Arabidopsis thaliana: one gene and its partners. The main gene of each other region encodes a partner of the protein of the gene in region 3 in a complex. Each region holds a gene or a part of one and is shown on either strand. Other genes may lie near its edges.

Region 1 (8,499 bases), on a different chromosome or scaffold from region 3:
GAAAAGAAAAAAAAGAATATATTATCACAATTCACTATGACGTGAATACGAGCAAGTGCAATCCCATACAAGTGAAATTTAATTTTAAATATTTCATTACCTTTGTTCAACACAAGAACTATATATTTCATTGCCACCTTCGAGATATATAAACCCTTTTTGTTAGACGTGTATAATAGACCTTTCATAAATCAATTTAAGACTAATTTGACTTAACTAGTGTTGTTTAGTAAGGTTTATATATGCCTAGTTGCTTATATTTTTAGGTAAGAATATATGTTTTTTTTTCATTTTGCTTTGAGTTTTATGCTTTGTGGTTTTAATATCTTTTTTTTTTCTATATGGCTTAGACTCCAATAATTTTTTGTGTTCCTCCCGTTTTTGATTCCGAGTATTTATTCATTGCATATCGGCTTTAGTTTCTCTTTTTTTTTTTTTTTTTTTAGTCACTCCCGTGTGTACTATATACTTAATTTCAACAAATTTATCAATATCAAATCAGTTGACAAAAACAAAGAATAATTTGATTTAACTTTGGTGTTTTTGTAATTATAAAATGAAATAAACGTGACGTATGTAATGACAGATGACTTAGTTAGTCTATAGATCCGTGAAGCCATCGTCCTATTTTCAAGCCAAAGTCACTTGAATTTATCATGTGGCTCTCGCTCTTTCTGATCAATTAAATAGCTTTATCAATTAACATAATCATATGATGTGAAAACCAAAAAATTAACATAATAAAAAGCTTATATGTTAAAACGAAGATATTTGACTACCAGCGACTTAATAAACTATATCCAAGTGAGATTGTGTGAAAAAAAATAACTATTTGTTATGTTTAGAATCAATTTCTTCGATGGGTTTTAGATAAATATTTTATTTAAGTAACTGCCATCCCAAACAACAAGGGGAAAATACAAATTGAAGGTGTTGTTTTCTAATAAAACAAACAATTGGTATTACAGAAATTCAAAATCAGTGGGAACCCCTCCAATTATTTTCCGACAATCAGTGAGGTCTCAAAATACTACAACCAAAAGAAGAAATATATGTTTTCTTTTCTTTTTTTTTTGTCTTAAAATTATATTTTGTTTCCTTTCAGTTTCAGCCGTTGAAAATATTGTCTCTTCGAGTGTGGAAAACATAAAACCCTGTTTGTTTGATGCTTCTAATGTGGCCATGTATTTTCGATCAGGATTAGTGAACAATAAGACTGAATTAGAACAAAGCAATTCTGATATGAGGATACCATAATCACGAATAATGAATCACAGCTAAACTTTTATTAAAGTTAGAGAAAATAGTGACTCATAAGACATAGTATACTAGTTCATATCAGTGTTATTATCACCTTACATATTTGATCCAATATGAGTGTTTTGGTATATCAATATGAACCAGAGTTTAACCATTTGGTTGAACGCAAAATAGTTTTGAATATGTTTATGCAAATTGCAATAAACCCAAAATGGTAGTAAAAGAAAATACAACCCATAATGGTACTACTTGAAAGTTTATCATAAAACCGATCTCGTAAAATATAAGATTATGGAAGCAGAAATTATGTATGATTTCAGTAATGCTGTGAAAAAAAAAAGCAATTTATTCGAGTGTTTTTGAGAACAAACTATAATCAAAATAAATAATAATGGACGGTCCATGTTGGTATATCGTGGGAATATGCCTTAACTTTAACGACTATTATAAACCGCCACATCATTGTCTCATCTACTTAAACCAAATTCAATTTTGGCGACTATTCGTTTTCTTTCTTCTTTGGTCAAGACATTATCTTACAATGAACCACTTCTTACTATACCAAAAACCATTTCATATGATTAAAATAATGATATAGTTGTGTGTATGATTGAACATGGAAAAGAATATTCTTCAACTTTATAATATTGGGGGGTTGACAATTTCTGCATCATCCAAAATTCCAAATTAGATAAGAAAAAGCGCCATCGACTTATCAGACATAAATTCGAAACCATTACTGTTTTTTCCCTTGGATCGTTTCGTAAGCTTGGAAAGGAAAGACTGGTAAAACAACACTTGCAGGTTTTAATTGGCTGCTAAGAAAAGAGACGAACTGAGTCTAGAGGATAATTGATAAATGAAATGTGTTGTGACAAAAAATTATAATTTCCCTATTGAGTTTGTGGATAAACGAACTTATACGTTTATTATAATAATGAAGTCGCTTTCAAGATTCCAACCTCCTGGTTTTAAAATAACTCAAGTTGTGCATCTTCTTATTCCTACTATAATACTACTATAATACTTATATTCAAAAAAAAGATTCCACTTTGAATACAACAAAAATAAAAAAACTTATCATAATGGACACAGGCAAACTGCATAACAATTAGTAAAACAAAAACAAATTCCTTTGAACTTGCTTAATTAAGGATATGTTCATCAACTAAGAACCAAGCATCGCTAAAGATAGATTCCAAGGACCAGATAATACAACTTACATTTTCGTTACAAAGGTTCTCAAAAAAGATGATACAAGGCTTACCAGTTCTAAGCAATGTAGTTGATCTGAAACAGTCTGTTCATTCAATGCAAAAGTGCCCATCACATCTGAGGAAGAAAAAACACTTTGGTTAAGAACAAGCATCAAGATCTTGATGGTCAACAGAGAAAGATTGTAATTTGATGAAGTTTTGTTTTTGAGGATAAATATTGGAGCCTATGTGCAGTTTCAGTAGCTAAGACACATCAATATTCAAAAACCATTAAGAAGAGAGATCACTTTTTTTGTTTGTTACCATTGTAGTTACGCTTCTTCTTCAGAGCTTCACTTCCACATCGACACCAGCAGGAAGATCAAGTTGCATCAAAGAATCGATAGTTTGAGCAGTCGGGTAGAGAATATCAATCATGCGCTGGTGTGTCCGGATTTCAAAATGGAACCTAGCATCCTTGTGAACGTGAGGAGACTTGAGAACACAGTAGATACGCTTCTTGGTTGGCAATGGAACAGGACCCATCGTCTTTGCATTGGTGTTTCTCGCAGCATCAAGTATCTGCTTGCATGAGTCCTCAATAAGAGGCACCCAGTATGATCTAAGCTTGATCCTAATCTTTTGCTTTGGCGCCATCTGATAACACAAAAATAAATCAAATTAAACCAAACACAATGAAACTCCACAAGACCCCTTAAAACAAAACTCTATTGTGGCAAATCTTATGAAGATACCATCTAAAGACGATCAAGATTTCTATACAATTACTTCTCCTTTCCTGTATATACAAGATGATATCTACTTGAAGGCATTTCACACAAATGAGACTCTTTATCGCTCTGAAAAAACGTAGTAAACCAAAGAAGTCTATTGATCTGACAAAGATAGACATTGAAGACATCAAATTTGAAAATTTGCGTATCAATTTCTAGCAGTGACCTCTAACACAGCAATGGGCATTGGTGTTAGAACAGATATGATACTTTTTAGCGCTGTGAAAACGTAGTAAAGCAAAAAAGTCTACTGTTTTGACGAAGATGGACACAGAATTTAGAACACACCAATGCACAAGTACTCGTAAAATCTGTATTCTAGTAAGTGAGCTGTAACAGTAACGGAATATACCTTATCCGCGTCTACACTGATGGATGAAGAGCTCGGAACCTGAATCACACAGACACAAAGACTATTATTAACAGAATTAACATCAAAGTGCTAAATGATTCTGCAAAACAATGTCTTTCCCCCCCCCCCCCCAAATTTCGCATTAGCTCTGCAAACAATCGAATCCGAGACTGACAGAGGAAAGAGTGTACCTCAGAGGCGGGTTCATCGAGAATTTCTGGAGTTGGATCTAGGGTATCGGGAACAGCGAAGACCTTCGTAAGCGAGACGGATGGTTTCGTAAGGACGCAGGAACTAAGGCCGCCATGGGTAGAAGATGAAGGCAGCAGAGAGACTTTGAGTCTGGTAGAAGAAGGCGAAGAGCTTGGAATGCCGAAAGATGGCAATAGAAACGACGATACAGTAGAAACCGCCATTGAATTTTCCCAAAACCACGAATCGATTTCTCTTATTCTTCTTCCTCTTAACGTTCGAAGGATGAGGTTTCTTCTTCAGCAGCTTCTTCTTGAGGGTTATCCATTTTATCCAAAACCTTTTTCTCTCTTTTTTAAATGATGAGATATTATTTATTCTAAGCCCATTAATTCATTAAAAGGCCTACGCTTATTATAAATGAATACCCATTAGGCCCAAATTGTATAGTTTCTGTTAGGGACCAAAAGTACCCATTAGGCCCATATTTTATAGTTCTTTTGGGGACCAAAAATATTCTAACCTAGTAAAATATGATTCATTTGTCTTTCGGTATTTTCTTTCTTGTGGATTGTGATCTGTCTTTAGAAGATTCTTTTGTATCTCATAAATATCTTTTGGAAAATTCAACACACAAACATTCGTGAAGTAGATGGAAAATTTAAGAAAAGTGGAAGACAAAATGAACTACTTGACAAACAAAACCCCATGAAAATATGCAATGAATGTGGAAAAAAATGGACAATATAAATATTCGATGAAATAATACAAACTCATAAAATAATATTAATTTGAATACAAAAGACAATAATATCAAGGAAGGATTCCGTAGTTTTGATTTTTGACTTTTAAATGCATTGTTCTTAATTTTATCTGTAATTGTGTGATCCATAATCTGTAAATATATACCTTCAAATGTGTGATCCATAATCTCACACGGAAATATAAGGTGTTAGCGTAGTTCAAGTATAATTTTTTTTTAATAAAAGCAAAATACATGTAGAAGAAGCCTAACAATTAACATAATGATGTCGCCAAATCCATGCAATTTAAAGAAGGAAAATGACTTAAACCAATCAAAGACATAAAAGACAATGACATCTTCTAAATATTATTGTCCACAAGCCCTCACACTATTCAAAGACCAATCATCCCTTACTATTCCGTTTGTATTTGTCTCAATCATGAGTATTTTTTTTTATATATATCATCAAGCTATACATGACTTAAAAGTCATATTCCTTTACCATTAACATACCATAAAAGCTAAGTCATCATGTATAGCTTGATGATATAAAAAGAAAAAAAATCCGAATTCCATCAGAGGTCATAAAAGATTCGGAACTTTTGGAACACTAACCAGAGGTCGTTTCGCAATGTAACCAATAATAGGACATAAGAAAACATGGATTAGTTGACAAACAAACAATAGAAGAAACACAGAGACTTTTTTTTATCCACATAACTGGGAAATCACACTTCACACGTGGCATGCAGCCATGCAGCTTCAGAACAAGGGGTGGTTTGGTAAAATCATCCACAGATGCCCATTGCCTTTGGCTTAAATTCTATAAATACCAAAGCCGTTGAGTGTAGTGTAACGCTTTGCACAATTACACTTTAACCTGTTTAATTCCTTCTTCTTCTTCTTCTTATTCTAGTCCTCACCATTCACTCACAAAACCAAAGAAAAGAAACCAGAGAGATGGATCAAATAAAACCGGAGTTTCTGAAGAAATTGACCAAGTTTATAGCAGTTTCGATGTGGATTTTATCTCTTTTAACCAGCCACGACTTCTATTTATATAGGTTCATGATCCAACTCGTAACACACGCAGTAGATAAAAACTACATGTTCCTCCTCTGCAATGGTCTCGTAGTGGTTGTTGCTAAGTGTTCTGGTTTGGTCGCTTCGTCCAAACCAATAGAGAAAATTTGGAGTAATACCGATAAAACCTTTGATTATGGAGATTTCGAGAGTTACACTACGATACTGGAGCTAGAGTATAAATCTGATCATGGAATAGGAACAGAGTCCTTTCTTGCAGAGGAAGTTACAGTGGAGGAAGATACAAAACATCAAGAAACCGAGGACAACGAAGAAGAAGATGACGACGACAACACATTAGCAGATAATGATGGAGAGGAAGAGTGTGGTCTTCGTGGCGGATCTATAAACGAGGAAGAAGAAGGGAACGTAGGAGTGATGACATCGACGGAGGAGGAGATGAATAAGAAATTCGACGAGTTCATCAGAAAGATGAAGGAAGAGCTTAGAATCGAAGCTAAACGGCATTTAATCCTTGTTTGAGTACTTTCTAATTAATCAGTTTTGTTTAAGTTTAATCAAACGCAATTTGCTCATATAGAGAGCGAGTTACGTTTTCTAGCTTCTTCTACATCCTCCTAGCCTCTGTAAGCATCTCTTTTAATGGAATCCTTTTTAAATCTAAGTAATTCTCTCGCGTTACACTTTTTCTTGAAAATTGTTACCTCGTATATATTATGCAAAAATGAAACTCGTCAAATACGATTAAACTACAATATGATCATATACATACAAAATTATATGTTTACATATTTCATATCGAACTCCATTATTAGTTCTATAGGCTAGACTGATGTACTACATGTTTTTAGCGGTGTGTTGTCTACACCCGATAGTTTCGGGGGAATAATGCTGTCCGTGCATGCACACGTGTATACCTTTGCATATAATGAATTTTCAATGTCAAAGAAAAACGTATGATGGATATTCCTAATTCTATATGTCTTTTAGGAGATGATGTACTTTCGTGTAAACATGATATGTGATGGATTGAGCCATTTTTTTCTATTTCTTGGCTATAGTTGATTTTTAAAATGTTTAATTTTCTTGATCTGATAACTTTTGCTGATTCCGTGGCCAACAGAACATCCGGTACCATGATTCCAAGCTTGAACAGTACGTATAGATTTCTTTAAATTGATCATGGGTTTGGTAAAAGTAAAATGTACATACGCATTTATCAATGTTATTACGTATTCTTAACAATAATATAATAGCTATTAGTAAGCCCTAAGATGATAACTGTAGAAACTTTCAGACTCATTACAAAATTCTAACAATGTTATAAGTTACGTCAAAATGATGTATTGTGTACATATATTTAATCCCATGATCCATCAATCCATATGTACAACCTGTAGAATATTTATCAACGAGAACGAAGAATCGAATATATGTTTAAAAAGTAATATAAGTTTGCTTTAAAGACTCCATATATAGATTCTCTGCTCTCTGCTTTTAGTTTTAGACCTCCATACTTTTTTTTTATCAGTTCCCCCACTATCCTATCCTACATATTCATCATCACTAGTCTCCATAAGATCATTTTTATTTGAATATTAAAAAATAAAGTTACTGTGAAATTTGTTGAGAATCTTCTAGTCGATCGCTTAGTTGGGTTTTCACTTTGAACAACTTTTTGTTTTGTTTTCTGAAACGGTTCAACTACACTAGCTAGCATCATGCATGTTCCATTTAATGTGATTTATCTTTTCTCTAGTCCTTTCGAGAGGTTTTTATTAAAAGGAAAACATTTGATTTGACTAATTCAATTGATCAACGTGAAAACACCAAAAAAAAAAAAAAAAAAAAAAAAAAACCAGAAAGAAGAGTTTAATACTGAATGTTACATGTATCAAACAAGCAGGAATGAGACAGTTGAAATGAATGGATAATGAAGATTTGGTACTCTATTGAGTATATGTAATTACTAATACAAAAACCCGTAAATTTTCTTGGTTAACTAGTTTAAGAAAACGATTGAGGAGCGAAAGATCTATCGAATAGTGATAGACTATACGATTTTGACACAGCAGAACATGTCCACTCCCGTTTATATTTAAAATGAACTTACTTATACAACTAAATATGACAAAACAAAATAAGATAATAAATGGGTCAGCTTATTTCATGTTATATAAAATGATATTAGGCTTTGATTGCAACAAGTTTGGCATGTAAGTATTCTAAACTAACGACTTTATACATCTTAGTTTGTATCATTCCATAAGTAGGTTTCAGTTTTGGCGATCATCTAAGATATAAACGGCGTATGATAGATATAAAAAAGCCGTAAATACCTAACAAGAGATGAATGGTAGTGTATAGAGCAATCATGCATATGGAGCTGTCTACACATACCAAAATCCAAAATTAAAAAATAAAGTAGAACCGAAAGACATGGAGAAGGAACAGTAAACTCAATCAATGGACAAAGAAACAAAACCAAAAGAATCAAGCTATAATACTATAACAATTAATATTAAGTGGGTCCAATTCCTGTTGAGAGGAAAATTGATTAAACCACATATACATGTAAACAATCATATGCTCAATAATGTTCAAAGCTCTAAAGCCAAAAATCATATCAATATTCGTAACTTACTAAAAGAAAAAAACTTGGTAAGATGTTATATGACTTTATATTAAAACAAAAACAGTATTTTGTGGGAAAGATAATAATGCATTCAGATGCTATAGTTTGAGTTAATATGGAACAGTAGAGTAAATAGATGTAATTGTTTTCAAGTATGTGTCAAAGGGAAGGAAACCATGGCACGAACTACGAAGCTCAAACACTGAAAACTTATACTCTTTGCAACCACAAAAGGCAAAATGATGAAAGAATGAGCGGTCAAGTTTGAAGGAAGAAGTAAT
Region 2 (6,849 bases), on a different chromosome or scaffold from region 3:
TAAAAAAAAAAAGAAACAAAGGGAAAGTTCTTATTCGAAGCGCCTCGTGATCGTCAACCAATTCTGTGCTTCAATATAATTACCAGGAGTAAGCGTTATAGCCTGTTTCCAATACTCAGCGGCTTGAGCGAACCAAGCCTCCGCCATTTCAGAATCTCCTTGTTGAATGGCCTGTTCTCCACGGTCGGAATAGGCGGATCAATTCCCTCCCTGAGAACCGTACTTGAGAGTTTCCTACCTCATACGGCTCGACAACCAACTCTTTTGTTTTGGTGTACCAGTTTTTTAACTTTAACCTACTTTGAACTTTATATCTAATTGAATGTCTAATTGAATGAGATTTCTTATAGATTTTTTGTTTTTCTTGGATTAAACAAAAGAGAGTAATTACATGAGTTTCAAACTTTCATTTTGATTTAATTAATATATTAATTAATATAATAAGTTTTATCTTTTCTCCTACCTTCAGAAAAAAAAGCATGTCCACTGTTATTAGATATTAGAATTTTCTGAAAGGTAACTATCCCGCTTTCATATAAAAATTTATATAGAATCTTTGAAAAAGACTTTTTCATACTTCATAAAAAAGAAAAAGACTTACTGTCTTTAGGATCTGATGCTACACCGCTGCTCAATACCTTCGGGGATTACTCTATTACATAAGTAGATTCCTAAGATTTATCTCATATTATGATATAAATAAACAGCTCTTGTTGTGTCGGTCCAAAACCTTTCCAATTGATCTTTACGGTGCTTCCTCTATCAATTAAATCTTTTTTTATCCATAGAAAAGAAAGTATTTAGGCATATCTAGTCTTCACTTCATATTTCGATGGATGAAGTTTAGTTATTTGCTACAGCTGATAAAAATCGTTTTAGGCGATGCTTATGTAGAAAGCCCTTTTTTTGTGTTTCTAGTATTTTATTGACTAGCGTTCGTTCTTTTTTTCTATAGTGGAGATAGTCGCACGTAATGACAGATCACAGCCATATTATTAAAAGCTTGTGGTAAAAAGGGGTTTCGTTCTAATGCCCGAAAATAATATTCTAAAGCTTTGGTATGTTCCCCATTACTTGTATGGATAAGGCCTATATTATAGAGTATATAACTTCGATCATAGGGGTCAATTTCTAGTCGCATAGCTTCATAATAATTCTGTAATGCTTCCGCATAATTTCCTTCAGATTGAGCCGACATCCGTTACGGTCGTCATTCGCTTTAACGAACTCTCCGTTTCAGAACCGTATGTGAGATTTTCATCTCATACGGCTCCTCCTTTAGGTGCATAATGAAAATAATATATGTAAAAATGTGATGTCATTATGAACTAAGCGGGGCTAATGTTTTTACAAGAAATCCCTAGCCAACCTTCTTGCAAAAGATCTTTTCTTACTACCAAGTGGGTTCATGCTAGATAAAAATAAAAAAGGAAACTCTAAAAATTTCTTTGTTCTCAACGCCCCTAAGTTTCCAGGAATTAGTCACTTCAACAGTCTTCAATGGTTATACGGGTATCCAAAATACGAACGAGATGGATGTTTATTGTTCCAACCATTTTAATTAGTCCCAATCCCAACGAAGAAGAAGAAAGGGAATCATTTTTAAGAAAGTTTTCGTGTTGTTGATTTCTCGGCGTAGTGCTTCTTCCCCTATGCCTCCTATTCGTATATTGTATTAGTGTAGTAGGATTGATCTGTAATACGGGAACCATAGGTAAAAACCTTTTGCTCAATACTATAATTCACAATTGAAGCATCTAAGGCTGCATTAATCGTGGATACATGACAGAAGGGATTGTTTTTTTTATATTATAAACTTCACCTTCAAAAGCGTAGATTTTTTTTCAATACTCGTTTTTCTTTCTATTCCAATCAAAATCGGCGAGAAAAAAAATAATGATAATCAAATCGCACCATCTCTGTAATAAGTAAATGCCTCTTTTTCTCCGGAAGTTGTCGGAATGACTCGTAATAAGATATCGGCTACAATTGTAAAGGTTTTATCAATAAAATTTCCATTTATACGCGATCTTGGCATAGGTAGTAATCCATTCTCTAACTCTTTTTATTTCCTTTACCTTTTCTTTTGTGAGAAAATTTTCTCACAAACAAAGGAATTGTATAGTACGAACTAACATAAAAGCGGACTCATTAAAAAAAACCTTCTATCTACTTCCAAATTTTCCGGTCAAAAAGGGTATCTATTAACCATAATCTAAAAAACGATGAATAACTCGCTATTCACCCAGATACTCAGTCATAATCTTGATGTCGGAGAGATGGCCGAGTGGTTGAAGGCGTAACATTGGAACTGTTATGTAGACTTTTGTTTACCGAGGGTTCGAATCCCTCTCTTTCCGTACTTTCAACAAATTCACCAATCTTACGTGATTGACCACAATGTATCAAATCCAATAAAAAAGAATCGATATAAGATCTACCTTGTTTTGATTTTGAAATAGATTCTCTATTCCTAATTTCTTTCATATGGAAAATGCTGGGAAGAGCAAACAAGGGATCCCAATCTCCCTACCAATCTATGATACATGAATAGGAAAAATATTCTTTGACAAAATCCCTTACCTTGTGCCTTTTTATTTTTAATGGAAAAGGGGAGTTGTCCGAACTCTTGTTTTTAGTAATTTTTTTTTTTACTTAAGTTAGGTTTATTAAGTCTGTCGAGAGTAATATTCTACGACAAGCAATTCATTTATTTTCAAACCGACGCATTTCCTATCTATTATTTGATTGACTAACCCTTCATATTGGAATGTGTGAAGAGTCAGATGGTTTGGCAATTCCTCAGGGGCAGATGAATCAAGAAGATTTTGAACCAAAGTTCTAGAGTTTTGTTCATCCTTCACTGTAATAATATCTCGGGGTTTGCAGCGATAACTTGGTATATCAACTATACGACCATTAACTAAAATATGTCCATGATTAACTAATTGGCGCGCTTGAGGAATAGTCAAAGCCATACCCAATCGAAAAAGGATGTTATCCAAACGCATTTCAAGTAATTGTAGTAAAACTTGACCTGTTGACCCCTTGGCTTTTCCGGCTATACGCACATATTTAAGTAATTGGTGTTCTGTAAGACCATAATGAAAACGCAATTTTTGTTTTTCTTCTAAACGAATACGATATTGAGATTTTTTTACGGAGCGTGATTGGTTTCTAAGATCGCTTCCTGCCTTAGGCCTTTTACTAGTTAGTCCCGGTAAAGCCCCCAGACGGCGTATTTTTTTAAAACGAGGCCCTCGGTAACGTGACATAAAGACTCCTTTTTTGATTGAAATTGTACAAAACTAAATAAAATTAAAACTGAACTAAATGATAATGATAAATGACGTGAAATACACTCCACTATTGGAATACAAAGAGTAAGAAGATATATTCTCTCAATATACAGATTTTTTTTATTGTATATACAATATATATAAATCAACTAAATCACAAAAATTTTCCTTTATTTTCTTGATTAATTTTGCAAAGATCAAACTCTTTTACCCAATATATATTCCTAATATGGAAGTTTATATGACATAATATAAATGGAGTGGTAACTCTTGGAAAAAGGTCAAAGAAGTCTTTTCAATCTTCTTTGATTTTGAAAGTACATTAAAAATCATGTAAAAAAAAACGAAAAAATATGGAAAAGCCGGCTATCGGAATCGAACCGATGACCATCGCATTACAAATGCGATGCTCTAACCTCTGAGCTAAGCGGGCTCAAATAAAATAGCGCATGCATACAAATTCACTAAACTACTAGATCGTATCAATTAACTATTCTATTAATATTTTTCCTTATCTAGTTAGAATTAATGATATTCTATATATTCTAGAACAGAATATAGCTCACATAAATAGTGACTATCATTCATCATTAAATAAATAAAACATAACCTTAATTCTATATATATATCTATATAGTCATAGAATAGTATAGAATTATTAGAATTTCAAATTTACGAAGTAGACTTATAATTTTTTTCCATTGCACATTGTAGAATTCTAAGTTTCAATAATAATAATAATAAATTTCTTTTCATGAAAGTAAAAAAAAAAAAAAGAATCGACCGTTCGACTATTTCTGAAAATTTAAGCCAAAGATGAAAAAAAAAAGAACATATATATGTTATGTAATATATAACCATATTGAATTGCAAATACAAAAATGATAGAATCTTTGTTGATTAGACTAAATCAATATGGATGGAGCTCAAAAAAATAAAAGAAGATAACAAAGACATAAAATAAGTATCTATAATGTAATGAATCCCGAGGTTTCGGCATAAGAAAAAAAAGGAAAGACATCATAATGAGATCCTAAAAAAGGGGATATGGCGGAATTGGTAGACGCTACGGACTTAATTGGATTGAGCCTTGGTATGGAAACCTACTAAGTGATAACTTTCAAATTCAGAGAAACCCTGGAATTAACAATGGGCAATCCTGAGCCAAATCCTGGTTTACGCGAACAAACCGGAGTTTACAAAGCGCGAAAAAAGGGATAGGTGCAGAGACTCAATGGAAGCTGTTCTAACAAATGGAGTTCACTACCTTGTGTTCATAAAGGAATCCTTCGATCGAAACTTCAAATCAAAAAGGATGAAGGATAAAAACCTATATTGTATAAATTTAGGTAACACAAAACGATCTCAAAAATGACGACCTGAATCTCGATTTCTATTTTTTTATAAACAAAATCAAAATGTTGTGAATCAATTCGAAGTTTAAGAAATAATATTTCTTGATTAAAATAAAATTATTCACTTCATAGTCTGATAGATCCTTGATGGAACTTAATTAATCGGACGAGAATAAAGATAGAGTCCCATTTTACATGTCAATACTGACAACAATGAAATTTATAGTAAGATGAAAATCCGTTGACTTTTAAAATCGTGAGGGTTCAAGTCCCTCTATCCCCAGCTCTACTCCCCGAAAAGGTTGACACCTTACCTTTTTTTCGTTATTATTTATTTGAATTATTTATAATCTATATCATTTTTCATTTTCAAACTTAGAAAGTCTTCTTTTATTTATAAAATCCAAGAAATTCCCGGTCCACAACTTTTTGAATTTACTACTTTTGAGTTTCTTTTCATTGACATAGACCTAAGTCATATATTAAAATGATACTGATACTTCAGTAGATTATACTTCGGTAATGGTACACATAGCTTAATTGCGGGGGACTGAAAATCCTTGTGTCACCATTAGTAAAAGCAAGATGATCCTTCGGTAATGGTCGACATAGCTTAGTTGCAGAGGACTGAAAATCCTTATGTCACCATTAGTAGAGGACTGAAAATCCTTATGTCACCATTAGTAAAAGCAAGATGATACTTCAGTAGATGATACCTCAGTAATGGTCGGCATAGCTTAATTGCGGGGGACTTAAAATCCCTGTGTCACATGATAATGATCCTTCAGTAAAGGTAGACATAGCTTTTTTGCAGAGGACTCGAAATCCTCGTGTCACCATTAGGAAAACGAGCATGATACTTCAGTAGATGATACTTGATACTTCAGTAGACTAATGGTGGACATAGCTTTTTTCCGGGGGACTTGAAATCGTTGTGCCACCATTCGTAAAACGAGGATGATCCTTCGCCGGGATAGCTCAGTTGGTAGAGCAGAGGACTGAAAATCCTCGTGTCACCAGTTCAAATCTGGTTCTTGGCAGAGGATTTATTAATTTTGATAAGTTTTTATTCTTCAAATTAAACGTATCTTTAGTAAAAAAAGTGCAATTATGCTTTATCCCCTCTCTTTTTTTTGTTCATGTTGTGAATCCAGCCGTTCAAAAAGAATGTATAATACTTGATACATAATACATATCCGAAAGGAAAGGTTAAATGAGTTCCGTTGAATCAAACAAGTAAAAAAAGGTCTATATGTATAGTATACTATAGTTGAAGGGCAAAAATACCCCAAGGTTCATTAGATACAATAGAAATAGAATTGTATCCCCCCCTTCATTTATTGCTTTCCGATCTTATTTATTCATTCCCAGTTATGTGACTAAAGTTGACTAAGTTATGTGCGCGATACAAAGTTCATAATGCAGAACTCTTTTTTTTTAGTTCATCCTATTGGCTCATTTTTTATCATTCAATAAGCATCTTGTATTTCATAAAAATTGGGGGCAATATAATCCTTACGTAAAGGCCACCCTATCCAACTCTCGGGCATTAGGATCCGTTTCAGTCGTGGATGGCTATCATAAGTGATTCCTAACATATCATAAGATTCCCGTTCTTGAAAATCCGTACTTTTCCAAACCCAGAAAACGGATGGAATTCTAGGATTACTCCTGTGAGTAAATACTTTTATGCAGACTTCTTCCGCTTGATTAACACCATATTCTATTCTCGTAAGATGATACACGCTGGCTAAGAGGCCACCTGGTGCCACATCATAGGCACATTGCGAACGTAAATAATTGTAACCATATACATATAAAATTACAGCAATAGAATGCCAATCTTCGGGCTTTATTTGTAAAGTCTCTATTCCTTGATAATCGAAGCCCAACGATCTATGAACCAGCCCGCGTTTGGCTAGCCAAACGGACAAAGTGCCCTGCATCTTTTTTATTTCCCCCACACCTTTTTTATATAAAATTAAGTATTTCACATTTACCGTTAATTCTAATTTATGAAGATTTTTTTCTGATTCTCTAAAAGCCTCCCTAATTCACTAATTCGTGGGACGATACTGGACTTTTGTATTTAAAAAATGTTTCAGTAGAGATCTCTGAAGTAGATGATGGTGGATAGAGTAGTTCTTGATCATAATTTCCAATATGCGGACTGCGTACAACAAAAAACTTGTGAT
Region 3 (7,685 bases):
CGATGGTCTCCCTCACAAAACCATTAATTAGCCTTTGTAACATCCTCTGCAGACCTCAGTTTATCCTCTAGCTTCATCAGCACTTGCTTGTACTTTGCAATAAGCCAACGATAATAGTCGATCATCAAAATAAGAGCTATCATTTCTTCTGAGAACTAAAACATGATATCTATTAAGACAAACTGTCGGCCCATTTGTCGGCCCATTCACAACAGAGATTTTGAATTTTCTCTTTGAAACCCTCAAGTGTGTTTTTCTTAGGCTTGGTCGATCTTTAGCCGTCTTCAACATCAAAATCAATGGAGGAAGAAGAAGCGAGACAAGTGGTGATCGACAATGATCTGAAGAAGAAGATCAAGGAAACGGTGAAGAAGATCCTGAAACGGTCGAGTTTACTTGAGATTACAGAGATTAAGGCCCGAGAAGAAGCTTCATCTGAGTTGAATCTCGATCTTTCGCGAGATCCGTACAAAATCATCGTCAGAGAAGCCGTCGATAGTTTCATCGAGAAGGCGATTATGACAATCGATACTGAGATGGGAAAGCTTCATACTCAGATTGTAGAAGATGTTGATGGAGAAGTAACCGAGAATGCCACGAAGACGACTACGAAGAAGAAAAAGAAGAAGAAGGCAAAGAAGAAGGTGGAAGAAGAAGAGTCATCACCTGCTTAGGTAAATTTTATCATCTCAGATAAATTTCATCTTTGCTCAGGTTTTTGTGTAATTTCAACGATGAATGATGTCTTTAGTTGAAATTAGTGTTTTAGCCATTGATACTACACTTCAAGTCAAAGTGTATCAGACTCTGTAACATGCTCCATCAATAGTTATATGTTTTGTTACTTAAAAAATTGATGATTGTCTAATTCATTAGGACATTTAATTTGCCAAAGAAAAACTTGGTTTTGGTGAAATTGTGATACTCAAAAGATTCAAGTATATCAAAATGAAACCTCTTTTTCCAATGCTATATATTCTCTTTGTGTTATGAAATGCATTATTTTTGTATCGACCCTTCAAATGATAATGACATTTGCATATCTTTCTTCGGTAGAGTTTGACATATTTGCATTTAGGAGAGACGACAATTAGAAGATTGAATTGTCAAGAATATGATTGACTCACCACGTAGATTACACTGAAGCCACAAGCACACTTTGTGGTGGTCGTCATTCTAATTCTTATTATGATCGTTTCACAAATATTCATGGACTCGAATAAATCCACAATTGTATACTAAGCATTATTCTAGGAAGGATACAAATTGATGCAAAAAATATTTAGATAAGAGAATGCTCTTAGACCACACAAAATGCTACCCATCATTTTCTTGTTTTCTTCATATAGTAAACACAAAAACATATACAAAGAAAACTGAACAAAATTTGAAGAGTTATTAAAATGGGGTGTACATCTTCCAAGCAAGCAAAAGCTAACGTCGTCGCCGACGTTTACAAACCACCGCCGTCTAGTTTCGCGGTGTTTGATGTCAACGCCATCCAAGAGCCATGGCTAAAATTTGAACATGAAGATGATGAGAAACCGCCACGCTCCACCGTCTTCGACCGTCTCGACGAGGATGATGATGATGATGATGATGATGGTGATGACGCTCCTAAAACATGGGAAGAAGTCAGCAAATCTCTAGAAACTAAACTTAAACCTGCCGCCGTTAAACCGCCGGAAGTAGACTCTGTTAAACCTCCGGCGACTCCTCCACGGCGGCTTCCGCGGAAGAGCGCATCGTTCCACACACTGGACGAGCTTGAAGTGAGGGCCAAAAGAAGCATCGCCGCGCAAATCCCGACGACAATGGTTAAGCTTAAGAGAACCGAGTCGATGTCCAAGCTAAGACCCGAGTCAGATGATCGAACCGAGTCCACTCAGTCGTCCTACTCGGGGCCTCGGTCAGTGAAGGAGAACATATTCGTCAAGAGAGACAGAGAACGGAGGGAGAAAGAAGGGAACAAGAAGCCGGTGATGAACTGGGACCCACTTAGGGAGTTCCCGGAGAAGTGTCCGCCGGGAGGAGGGGAAGGTTTGATTGTCTACACGACGTCGTTGCAAGGAGTGCGTCGCACGTACGAGGATTGTATGCGTGTGAGGGCCATCATGGAGCAGCAAGGAGTTGTGGTGGACGAGAGGGACGTGTCTTTAGACGCCGGAGTCTTGAGCGAGCTTAAGGAGCTTCTCCAAGACGAAGCATCAGTGGCGCCGCCGCGAGTGTTTGTGAAAGGGAGGTACTTGGGAGGAGCAGCGGAAGTGACAGCGATGAATGAGAACGGGAAGTTAGGGAGGGTGTTGCGGTGGGCACGTGTGGAGAGAGTAGGGGAGGAAGGGAGGCTCACGTGTGAAGGGTGCGGAGGAGCGAGGTGGTTGCCTTGTTTCGAGTGCGGCGGAAGCTGTAAGGTGGCGGCGGTTGGGGCGGCCAAAGGTGAAAGGTGGGAGAGGTGTGTCAAGTGTAATGAGAATGGATTGATTCGTTGTCCCGTGTGTTTTGTTAATTAAGAACATTATTAGTTTACACAAGCAAATAGAGGTGTGTCAAATATACTTTGTCCCGTTTGTTTTGTTATATGTATGTGACACGTTTGATTTTGTGGAATTGAAAATGATTTGAAACTATGCTAGGATTTTCATAAAATGTTAAAGCATGAACGTGAACCATTATAATGCTAAGCTTGCAAGGTCTCTCACTCGTATATGTTGATGGTTTTGATCAATTACGTAAAGGAGTTCAACAATCTCACTAATTTAAGTTTGGATCGTCAGAAGGTAAAAGCTGGCAAACAAAGTCACTTCTGCCTGAATACTTTACAAATTTGTTCTTTGTTGCTATTTTGTTTGATTGTTATGCATCCGTTGAGGATTTTGTGCTATGAAACAGAGTAATATGAATTCCATCATTATAGTAACTATGGCAAGTTAGTGTTAGTTAAAATCTTTTAATGAAAATGCATACAAGTATGCTTCTCAAACTTAGCTTTAAGAGTTTCTCACAGTTACATAAGAAAGCAGAGCAATGCACAAAAAAAGATACAAAAAAGATAGATTTACTTTTGTTCTTACAAAGAAACAAAAAAAGAATCTGACATTTTTCTCACATACACAATGTTCATGGTCTTCAGTTGTACTTCCTCTTCTTTATCTTGAAGGAAGATGATCGGATAATGTCATCGTCGGCAGTGAGAACGGTCTCGAGTGGAACTATTGATTCGGGTTTGGTGAAGTAAGTGAAGAGAAGGTAGATTCCATCCAAGTAAGTGTTGGTTTCTCCAGCTTTGTTCTTCTTTCTTATGCTGTAAGCCAACGGAATCACTCCTCTGTTAAACACTTCCACATACATTCCACCTCCTGCCACAAGCAACTGCCACACACACCAAAAAGAAATCCCAGCAACATAATGAATCTTTCAGAGTCTGCACCAACTAAAAACTTCCACTACTCCGAACATAAATTTCAGAATTCCTCATTAGATTAAACATGTGATATAGCGTAAAAGAACCCACGCGTAAACCACAAATGATAACTGTGTATTAGCTCGTTTCGAGCATCAAAGGACATTTCAAGAATTGAGTTAAAATGTTATGGTAAAACATGACTAAAAAACTAAGAAGTGCACTAAGGGCTCCTATCTTGTTTCAAATGGTTGAGACTTAAAGAATTCACAGCCCACAGAAGGATGAGATTTGCTCTTAGAAAGTTAAACTCTTTACTTCAATTTTAACAAGGAGTCGTCACAAACATTCAATTGATAGCTGCAAGTTACACAACTCTACATTGAAACCATTTTCTCTTGCTTTGTCATTAACGTGTAAGAACAGACACAAGATACAACTTTTAGTGATCTCTTACTCAACTTCTAATTGAATCCTAAAATCTCTTTCTCTCTCAAATAATCAAATTTCCCTCTGACATGAAACAGAAAACAGGTAAAGTTGGAGACTTTTACTTACCTCTTCGTATTTCTGGGTAAGACCAAGCCGTTCATCTTCAGACATGTCTGGTCTCAAAACCGCCATTGTTTCGTACTGCCTGAGCCCAGGTGGGCACTGAGGTTCCGGTTTGTCTTCAAGGGCAGTTGAGACTCCCGACCCGGAAGGAGAAGTCGGGTCATCATCCGACCCGAATCCACCTTCAAAGAAAGTTCCAGAGAAGTCAAGAGCCTGAGATTTCACCACAAATTGAGAGCCATCTCTCTTCTGTATCGAGGCACACATAGGTTTCGACTTGGAAATGAATGGCCTGAGAGAGTGGGAGAATGATAGCAGCGGCTGCGAAGATACATTAGGCAGAGGGCAAATTGTGGAATTTGATACACACAGCGAAGACGCCATTGTTGTGAGATTGTGAAAGCAAAGAGGAGATGAGAGAGTAAAATTTGGATAAGAGATGATGATGGTACACATTAGTCAGAATTCTATTGTACACCATGGGCCTTTTTAGGTTATTGGGCCTGTTAAAGGCCCGTTTTGTAAAGACAATTATTTCTATCTGTATTATTTGTCTTCGCGATCAAGCCAGTTCTCGGAGCAATCAAATCTATAAGAAAAGAATCGTCGCCGGTGAAGAGAAAAAACCATAGAAGCGATGGATCCGCAGCTAACTGAAGTTTCACAGCAGTTCGAGAGATTCAAGGCGGCGTTTGCGAGGAAGGATTACAATACCTGTAGCGATCTGTTGTCTCAGCTTAAGGTCTACATCTCTCTCTCTTCTTTGAACCCTAATTTGTTTCAATTCACTTCTTTGCATATCTGCTTATTGAACCAACTTTGGGAAAATTGATGGGTTATGTCGCGAGAGTTTAAATCTATGAGAGCTTTGATTTATTGAAGTGAGAATTTTTAGCATATAAGTGTGTTAAGGATCTTTTAGAAGAGCTAAGTGCTATGAAATTTTTAACTTTCTACTTTAAGGGATTGTTGGGATTGGTTTAGATTTACAATTTACTGGTGCGAGTCTCTGATGTCGCTGGGGTTTTGTTGTGTTCTTCAGGTTCTTCTTACCAAATTCACAAGTCTTCCTCCATTGTTCGAGAATTCACCTAATGCAGCCAAGGAATTGACTATTGCAAGTAAGTTTCTCTTTTTCATTATTGGTTTTACATGAGCTATTTGCTAGTAAGTTTAGAGTTTTGCTTTCAATTGCATGGAGTGTTTTGGATTTGTCTATTCTCATGAGTTATTTGTTAACTATACTTAAATACCACTGAAGAGTGTCTGAGGGATTGTACTGCTTTAGTTTGTCTGTCTATCCCTATATGTATACATTAATCGTTGAATGCTGCATTGGTTTGGATTGAGTTATTGGTAATTTTTGTTCTTATTGATTATCCGTTTCTAAAACTTTGACAATTGGTGTATTCTAGGGGACATTTATGAGCATGCTGTTGTTCTAAGCGTCAAAACCGAGGATCAAGATGCTTTTGAGAGAGATTTCTTCCAGCTGAAACCTTACTATGTGGATGCCAGGTAAAGAAAGAACCAACTGTCTGAACATTATCTTTTTCATTTTCTTTTGGTCTAACATATCTTCTTTTCCTCTGCACCAGGAACCGTATTCCTCAGTCTCCACAGGAGAATCTTATCCTGGGTCTTAACCTTCTGAGGCTGCTGGTACAAAATAGAATTGCTGAATTCCACACCGAGCTTGAATTACTTTCATCAGCTACACTAGAGGATCCTTGCATCAAGCATGCAGTAGAGCTTGAGCAATCCTTCATGGAGGGTGCCTATAACCGTGTGTTGAGTGCTAGACAGACCGCGCCTGATGCAACTTACGTCTATTTCATGGATCTCTTGGCAAAGACCATAAGGTAGCATCAATGAGTCTGTCCTTCTCTGAATTAGTTCAGTCTTATGTCTTCTCGCGTGTTATCTCACCTTTTTATTGTTATGACTGAATTCACAGAGATGAAATAGCTGGATGCAGCGAGAAAGCTTATGATTATGTCTCTATCAGCGATGCCCGGCAGATGTTGTTGTTCTCTTCTGATCAAGAACTCTTAACCTATGTCACAGATGTAAGAGAAAAAACATTTTGTGCAAAGTTTAGAATCTTTTTTAGTTTCATGAACCATTGACGCGATTTAGGTTTTATCAAATCTTATAGGAGCATCCTGAGTGGGAAGTGAAGGAAGGGTTTGTTGTCTTCCAGAAAGCCAAAGAAACTGCACCGTGCAAAGAGATTCCGTCTCTGCAACTCATCAACCAGACTCTAAGCTACGCCAGAGAGCTGGAGCGTATCGTGTAAGATTCGACTTTTCTCACTGCTTGTCTCTTCTCTTCTGTTATGTTCCTGGAAATCTCTGGGTCAGAAAACTTTGTTATCATGTAATGACCGATATTGAGCGACTCAGTATTTTCTCCGGGTCAATGAGACTTTGTTGTGATATCAATCTGTTTTTCCATATCCTTTTACGTTATATTCTATTGTTTAGTGTTCACTCGTTTTCAATTGGAGACTCTGTCCTCCTCACTTTGATGCTTTGCTTGAACATGATGTCCATAATTCTAGGGGTGTTCAAAACTAGGTATAGTTTGGAATTCAGAGTTACCGTGGTCCGGGATACTCAATTTCGGTTTGGTTTGCGGTGGAATGTTTTAGTTCAGTTTGGTTATTTGAATTTGGGTTTGGTTTAGTTGTGGATGAAAAGGACAGATTTGGAGAGCCTCTAACGTAGTGTAGCCGGGGCCTTCCTTCCTTTGATGAACAACCTAGTCCAAATATGGAAGAAGGAAGGAAGGATTGTCATTACAGAACAAGGGACACACAATTGTCAATTGCCAAACACTCATCAACTTGAAACAAGTGGGGATTTACGTTGCAAGCATTTCTTCTCCTTGGGGTTAAAATATTGATTAACAGCTAAATAACAAATTAGGGAAGTTATTATAACATTAAAAGAAAGAATAATCACGATTAGATGTCCCCACTAGGAAAACAAGTTACTGTTAATAAAAATTTTATGTATTGCAAAAGGGCTTAAGTAAGGATCCACTTTGGGTAAGTAGTTGAAAATGGCTGAGTAAGAATAATCACGATTAGATGTCCTCGCTTTTTTATTCATCTCCCAAAGCGAGATTCGTTTTTTTCATTGTCGTCAATTATTGCATTGTTTATCATAATTATTTGCTAAGAACATCATTATTATTGAATAAATTATAGTAGTCGTTGTTATTCTACTCACCCACAACACGCACTTAGTGCCTAATTACGTCTTAATTTAATATTTTTTAAAGCTTTTAGGCGCATAAAATATGCTATGACAACTTTGTTCATGGTGGTGGACGTGTAAGAAACGTCTAAAGATCTACTCTATATAACATAATCAATTCGTTTTTTGAAATGTGATAAAAACAAACCTTTACCATATATTCGCCTCTGGCAGAAACAATGCATTTGGAATAAAATAGAATCGTATCACAGCATTTAAAAACGATTATTCAAATAGTCTAATAGTATTTATTCACACCTTTATGTTTTATGTATATCGAATTTTGTCAAAGCCAATATTCTAGAGATGGTCAATCAATATCAATACAGTTTTTTTTTTTGGCCAATGTTCTAATATTCAAGTTTGTTAGTATTAATAGAAAAACAAAATTTCGATGCCTTTTGTCTCATAAAAATATTAAAGAAAATAATACAAAGAATAAAGAATTTGCATGAAATGGGAGATAT
Region 4 (7,049 bases), on a different chromosome or scaffold from region 3:
ACAACGCAGTGATGGTCTTTGACATCTACCATCCGCTAATGCGAGAATTCTTGCAAGAGTATGCCACAACTTTCGACGGAAACAAATGGGGATACAACAGCCCTTACCTAGTCTCTAGAGTTATCAAGAGATTAGGAAACAAACCTGGATACAACAATCTCACAATCTTTTCTCCCGATGCTTTCTATCCAGTAAACTGGATCAAAATCCAAAAGCTTTTCAAGAAACCTGCAACCACAAGAGAAGCAAAATGGGTAGAGAAGACAGTACAGGACATGAACAAAGGGAGTTACATGATACATCTGTGGAACAAAGTCACAAGGAAGATTAAGATTGAAGAAGGAAGTGTAATGCACACTCTCGTCTCCACTCACTGCACAGTCTGCGGAAACATCACAAACTCTCACATTTAAAGATCCAAACAGAGACAGATGATTCATCCATCTGATCTATCTAAGTATATAGATTCTCGTTCTTAGTTTGCTTTACTTTTTCAATGTAAAAGACTCAATGATTCATAAAGAAGCAAACTTTTCATAAAAAGATGAGAACTTTGGAGATGTTTTTAACAACAAAAGAGTCGTAGCATCAAAGCTTTTCAAAAAACAAATTAAAATTACAGTGAGAGACAACAAGTGAAGAATCTCATATTTCTAATTAGAGAAGAGAGACTCGTCGATATCGATTTTGATCTTCTCGTCGTTCTCAAACTTATCTTTCCTCGGTGGTGCTGGAGGAACCGGTACTCTCTCCGGTCCTCTTCCTTTGCTCTTGTTTCTTGGCCTCGCCTGCTTACATAAACCCCAAATTCAAAACCAAAATTGCGAATTTGCAAAGTAAAATTACGAAATCGGAAAGAGAAATTTGATTACTTACATTCCCAAAAGAGTGATTGAAACGCTTTCCTTTAGCTGTTTTCCGGTCACCTCTGCCACAGTACACTGCGAACACCGGAAAAGTTACGCCATTGACGAATTAAGAGAGAGTTAGATAAGAGAGGGAGATTACCGAGTGGAATTGAGCTGGATGAGGAAGTGGAGAGAGAGAATTGATGAGTGAAGCAAGAGAGAGAGACACCGGCAGTTTCAGAGTGAGAAGATGATAACCGTGAGGAAGGTAATGCGACGGTGACTCGCGGAGGAGCTCCGAGTATAAGCGACGCCATCGCCGTGTGCTGTTTTCGAATTTGTTCGAAGAAGAAGATCCAGAAGAAGATAAGGCAGTGAGAGTAGAAAAACGATTTTAGGATAGGCTTTTAATTATCTTTTCATATTTGGGCTTTAATTTCAATTGGGCTTATTTTAAAGCCCAAATATATCTAAACCCTACACATGCTTGTCACGTGTGTAATCGACCTTGTTCTTGTTCTTGTTCTTGTTCTTGTTCTTCTTCGTCTTCTCTTCGGAGCTTTTTTCTTCAGATATCACCCAGATCGTAACTTTTGATCTTCGAATTTCACAAAGCTCAAACTTTTGGTAAGTATTCTTATCATCTCATTGATCTTGGGTTTCTAAAAAGTTTCAATTTTTATAATCACATCTCTTTCTAAATCTCTCATTACTTGGTATTTAAAATCTGTGTGTGTTTTTTTCATTCTTATGCTTCACAGGATTCTTTACTAATCCTATTGTCACATAACATCGGTAAGCTCTCTTTTTTCTGAACTCTCAAATCTTCTATAGCTCGCTTTAGCCAAAGTCGTTTGCTTTAGTAGAGTGTTATAGATTCTGCTTCAGCTGTTTATTTGAGGCTTTGAGCAATCTGAGTTTGTTATGAAAACATTGAACTTTCAATTCTGAAACAATCACTCAACTTCGATTCACAGAAAATGATTTATATTCTCTAACTTTGCATTATGTGTTTCATCACTTCCTATAGGAACAAGATCATCAATGTATAAACAACTGATCAGAAGTTCATATTTCTCTTTGTAAGTATACAATTCGGGATCTTGATCACTTCTTGCAATGGAGAAAGAGATGGAAGATAAAGAAGAATTCGATGAGGGTGAGATTGAGTACACGAGTTATGCTGGTGAGCATCATCTGCCATTGATTATGTCTCTTGTTGACCAAGAACTTAGTGAACCTTACTCCATCTTTACTTACCGGTACTTCGTCTACCTCTGGCCGCAGCTATGCTTCCTGGTATTTTGACACTCAGCTTTCGATTATCGTTGCTTTACCCTCATGATACTTATGTTTTGATGGATTTATGAGTAGCATTTGTTTTGTTTCTTTTAATAGGCCTTTCACAAAGGTAAATGCGTAGGAACCATAGTCTGTAAGATGGGGGATCATCGACAGACTTTCAGAGGGTACATCGCTATGTTGGTTGTGATTAAACCATATCGTGGCCGAGGCATAGGTAATACTTGAGCTAGTGCTTCCTAACTTCTTACAGAATCAGATTTTGACTGTGGGAGTAGTGTTTGATCTACTGCAAATACATGCCTCTCTTAAGGTTCGATAATTTTGTGTGCTGACTTGTCATTGTTTTTTTACAGCCTCAGAGCTTGTCACAAGAGCGATAAAAGCGATGATGGAATCAGGCTGTGAAGAGGTATGCTGTTCTTGCATTCTCACTTCTCTCTTTATTCCCACTTTGGAGAACTTAGATATTTGGTAGCACTAGAGTGATATCCTTTCCTGGTAGTATAAATGTAGATAAGACCTTATGAACCACCTTTTCCGGAAGGTTATAAGTCCATTACATGTCCTGAAATAGTGCCTCCTTTTTATCTACTAGAATAGAATTTCATAGCTGAGGTGATGTAGCTGCCTTTAATCATTGCAAGTATACCTATTGCTTTTGATTGTTTAGCTAACTGTGTGTGTAAGTTTAGTTCCACGTATAAAAGTAGTTAATCATACTCCTAAGAGTTGGAACTTTTCGATATTCGTTTAGTTACTAATTTTGTAGTGGAAATCAAAATCCCAGTCTCTCACTTAGTATACATATGTTGTATAAGTCTTGTATGTAGTCCATGACTCTTTATAGTCACACGCATTGGAATGTAACTGATAGTAATATAAAATAAGAAATCCCTGTCTCCCACTTACTAATTGCGTATTCGACGAATCATTTTCTGTTGTATGTGTGATCTCTTAACTGTAATCTCAGTAGTAAATAGATTGGAAAAAGAACCTCGTGATTGGCATTTGCTCTTCAAGTTCCTCATAATCAAGCCTGATTACAACATGAGAGTATGGTTGTCTGGTTATGCAATCTAATTAATGTAAAGATGTATGGCTGAAGGTAACTCTGGAGGCAGAAGTGAGTAACAAAGGAGCATTAGCACTATATGGGCGACTCGGGTTTATAAGAGCCAAACGGCTATACCACTATTACTTGAATGGGATGGATGCTTTTCGCCTGAAGCTCTTGTTCCCTAAGCCTCGTGTACCTCAAATACCTTCTCAAGTTCAAACCCAACAAGAGTATGAGACCTTTCCTAGGCCTCGTGTACCTTAAGGCCATGAACGAAGATGTGTGTTTCTTCAATGTATTCTAAATCCTGAACATGCTAAGACTATGTTCTCTTTCGTATGAAGAAATATTATGTGTTGGTACAATTCTAGTCCCATGTTTATGAAGTATTCTCGACTGGAGTAAGCGATTAATCTGGACGTTTCAACGGTCTTGTGTGTCTACAGAAACAATTTAGCATATTCATATCACTTTGTGGTGTGCGTATATACGTTTTTAAGGTCTCTCAAACTTGGTTGATGATTGGAAACAAAGATCTAAATGTTGTTACAAATTCATATAACCACTTAACTTAACCTAATCGTCTCAGGCTACTCCTGACTTCGAGTTAAGTGGATGATATAGAAATCGAGATGTGAAGTGATTTTCAGCCATCAAAATTTTCAAACAGCTCTATATACCTCAAAAGAAATCCAAGATGACAAAAAATTGATTTAAGGCCAAAGGAGAGAAAGATGCCAGTCAAATGTTATGAAAAGACATGCTTGAATAATTGGTATGAGATATTTTATGAAATACTTTTATTGCATACCGTATTTTACTATAAAACAATTTTCTTTTCACAAACACAACCATCTTAGATTTATCCATGTTAGCCGAGATTTTTTTTGTATCCAGATAGTCCACTTTACAAAAAAAAAAAAGTCTAATATAAAGAAGAAGAAAAGCCTCAAATGTAGTTGCAAAACTCACATGGCCTAAATCAGAACAAATTAAAGACGATTCACCACTCGCCACATAATAGTTTATTGACAATTTGAACCCACTCGTTACCAAGGGTCACTAACCAAACGTTACCAAGGGTCCTACTCCATATCGCATAATATGACTCACATTCACTTCTTCTTTTCTCTTTAACGATTTTATGCTATTAGAAGAAACATTTTTGCAAAGTTCTTTTTTATTTTGACCCCCAACAAAAAAAAAGTCAGATGGAAAGTACAAGAATCGGACTCTGGATTCAAACGAGAATATTAGTTAATAATTTTACATATATAGTTATAATCTTTGGGGGCAAAGTACATGTGAAAGCAGAGCATATGATAAGGGGTAAACGATTGAGTACGAATGGAACGAACACATGCCATATTTAATATGAGGGACAGGAACGGTCCTCTGATCCATTCTTTTGATCAGAGAGAAGATGAAGAGTGTCAAGTAAATAATGGCACGTGACTCGGACGAAGTATCCACGTGCGTCCTCTCCCCACACCCATGTGGCCCATAGGATATATGACCGGCTCCGTCGGTCCAACTTGTCCATGTTCCCCTATTTAATTTTTAAACACACCCTGCCGTTAAATCAAATTTTCCAAATAAATTAAAGTGTTATTTCAAAATTTTAATGTAAACTTAGTAGTATTGTCGCTGTGCTATGATCAAAACTGTATAATTAAAAGATCTAATAGGATCCTAAAGAATTATCTAGTATCGGAAGATATTGTTCATGGTAAAATAGTTTATATAAGTCTAATTAGGATAAATGTATAAGATAAGAATTGTTTTTTGTTACTAAAGACAAGTAAAAGGAGAGAAGACGATACATTTTCTTAGCCTATTGTTTTAACAATACCAAATTAAGAAATCACACACTACATATTATCGACTATTCAATTTTAAAAAAAAAACTAAGGAGTGAAAACAAAAATACAAAACCCCAAAAGAGAAAAAAATAATTAAGAGCTTAGCACGCATTTAAAGGGGTGTGTAAAAAGTACACTATTTTCGTGACTTTTACTCCCTTCACGTATACGAACACAAAACACAAAAGAAGAACAAATAATTTTAAGAACCCTCCACAAACGCATTAGAAGAACCCTGACTCGATCTCTCAAAGACGGTGGTGTAAAGCGGAGACCGGGGCATGTGCGGCGGCTGCAGCTGGTTTACATTGGTAACACTTGGCAAAGAGACCAAAAGTGTCGACTTGACGAACAAAGTTGGTTACACTAGCCCATCCACCGAACCCAAATCCGACTATAAGAACCCAAACCACCACGAAAGCATTCAACACGTACATCGCCGTCCAGCTCGGCATAAAGAACGGTGGCTTCTCCGCCGCATTCTACAAGAAAGATCCAAAACACAAAAATAATCAGAGAACCATTAAAGAAATAGAGAGTGTGTAAGTGTTTTAGAGTTTTGGTCGTATAGTAATGGACAAAATCCAAAGCTTTGTTGACCCATGAGATAGAGAGAGAGAGAGAGAGATATGATTGTGATTTGTCATACTCAGACTCTCACTTTAGATTAATGTTAGGCATAGAGTCCCTATTGTACAGCTCCTTTTCATTTCTGATTATGACTCTTACCTATTCCTCTCCCCTATTTTCCTCTACTTTTATCTTACGTAAATTTAATATACACTGTTTTGAAAGAGAGAAAGAAAAAGAAGTCATGGTCAATTACTAATACTAACCTAACCGGATATTGTATTTTTTCTTCTAAATGTAACCAAATAAAGAAATGGCTGAAACCAACTCAATAATATATTATTTGGAGGGGACGCCAGTAAGGAATGTGGGTGATGATCCTATCTTCCGTAAGATACGGAACACTGAACCCCATCTATCTTCCACAAAAGACGTTTTTGCCCTCCAATTTCACAACCCTACCCCCCAACTATAATATTCCTCCACCGACTCTTCATTTCATTTCTAAAAAATTATTGGTAACTCAATGTATTTTAGGTTAAGTTCGAGTTTTGAAACGCTAAAAGAGAGTGAGCTAGTAAAGATGTTATACCTGACGAGCGGAGGCAGATCGGTAAGTGAGCATGTGAGCGAGAGATGGGATGATATAGACGGTGAAGCTAACAAGAAGAGCACCGACAGCGGAATTGATTGGACCGAAAAAGGGGAAGATAATAGCTAAGAACCAAATAGGTATGACCACAGGCAATCTAGCCAAAGCCCTTAAGCAAATGCTCTTTGTGTCATGCATCCCAATCACTTTCTCCCACACAAAGTACAAAGGTGTACAAGCGAACCCGAACGTTATAAACTGCACGAACAAGAACACGTTGCATTAATCTCTCATGATCAAAATTTACTTAAAAAAGAAAGAACAAAAATGTTGTATGTGTATACCTGATGAATGAGCATGAGGATAACAGCGGCGTCACGCCACGCGTTCTTGGGCATAAGAGAGAAAGCGTTGGAGTGGTCGAGAAGTGCGTCTCCGAAAGCCCAGTAAACGGCGGCAGCTGACGGAATCGTTAGCGTGAACACGTATAACGTCGCCATCAAGTAAATGTACTTAAACTTCTGTGGTTTCCACATAGCATGCATAATCTCACTGCAAATTAGAAATTACTGTTAATATTCATAATTTCATCCAAAACTTTAACTATGTAAAAGATTGGATTCACAACAATCATTGACGCATAAAAAGGGTGTATTTGACATTTCGCAAAAGCGTACTATTCCTACTAGTAGTAGTAGTGCTTTGGTAGCAATAGTGTTTGTTATTCTTTATAGGGATAGGAATAATAATGGTTATTCTATTTTATATTTAAAAAGAGCTTATTTTATTAGTACTACTATTTTAAGGATTGCTAA

What was found.
Region 1: AT1G64510 (region 3) and AT3G13120 share a complex: the UniProt entries of both Arabidopsis thaliana proteins name them as parts of the 30S ribosomal subunit.
Region 2: AT1G64510 (region 3) and rps4 share a complex: the UniProt entries of both Arabidopsis thaliana proteins name them as parts of the 30S ribosomal subunit.
Region 4: AT1G64510 (region 3) and PSRP4 share a complex: the UniProt entries of both Arabidopsis thaliana proteins name them as parts of the 30S ribosomal subunit.

The regions. Positions count from the first base shown.
Region 1 is NC_003074.8:4,217,509-4,226,007, forward strand, and holds AT3G13120 (Ribosomal protein S10p/S20e family protein), read right to left. Parts: upstream 4,140-8,499; 5' UTR 4,019-4,139; coding exon 3,794-4,018; intron 3,642-3,793; coding exon 3,603-3,641; intron 3,114-3,602; coding exon 2,802-3,113; 3' UTR 2,781-2,801; exon of another isoform or gene 2,765-2,780; intron 2,593-2,764; 3' UTR 1,802-2,592; downstream 1-1,801. Other genes in the region: AT3G13130 (uncharacterized protein), read left to right, coding at 5,500-6,105.
Region 2 is NC_000932.1:42,554-49,402, forward strand, and holds rps4 (ribosomal protein S4), read right to left. Parts: upstream 3,276-6,849; coding exon 2,670-3,275; downstream 1-2,669. Other genes in the region: photosystem I assembly protein Ycf3, read right to left, coding at 31-183, 971-1,198, 1,913-2,038; ndhJ (NADH dehydrogenase subunit J), read right to left, coding at 6,124-6,600; ndhK (NADH dehydrogenase subunit K), read right to left, coding at 6,704-6,849. UniProt on the Arabidopsis thaliana protein: One of the primary rRNA binding proteins, it binds directly to 16S rRNA where it nucleates assembly of the body of the 30S subunit. With S5 and S12 plays an important role in translational accuracy.
Region 3 is NC_003070.9:23,951,867-23,959,551, forward strand, and holds AT1G64510 (Translation elongation factor EF1B/ribosomal protein S6 family protein), read right to left. Parts: upstream 4,439-7,685; 5' UTR 4,412-4,438; coding exon 3,959-4,411; intron 3,370-3,958; coding exon 3,127-3,369; 3' UTR 2,937-3,126; downstream 1-2,936. Other genes in the region: AT1G64490 (DEK, chromatin associated protein), read left to right, coding at 300-674; AT1G64500 (Glutaredoxin family protein), read left to right, coding at 1,404-2,510; RPN12a (regulatory particle non-ATPase 12A), read left to right, coding at 4,593-4,697, 4,998-5,076, 5,371-5,473, 5,554-5,817, 5,913-6,024, 6,114-6,254. UniProt on the Arabidopsis thaliana protein: Binds together with bS18 to 16S ribosomal RNA.
Region 4 is NC_003071.7:15,975,064-15,982,112, reverse strand, and holds PSRP4 (plastid-specific ribosomal protein 4), read right to left. Parts: upstream 1,266-7,049; 5' UTR 1,166-1,265; coding exon 1,009-1,165; intron 942-1,008; coding exon 877-941; intron 789-876; coding exon 654-788; 3' UTR 501-653; downstream 1-500. Other genes in the region: AT2G38150 (alpha 1,4-glycosyltransferase family protein), read left to right, coding at 1-413; ATMAK3 (Acyl-CoA N-acyltransferases (NAT) superfamily protein), read left to right, coding at 1,968-2,147, 2,247-2,367, 2,507-2,562, 3,259-3,474; AUX1 (Transmembrane amino acid transporter family protein), read right to left, coding at 5,321-5,554, 6,235-6,492, 6,579-6,786.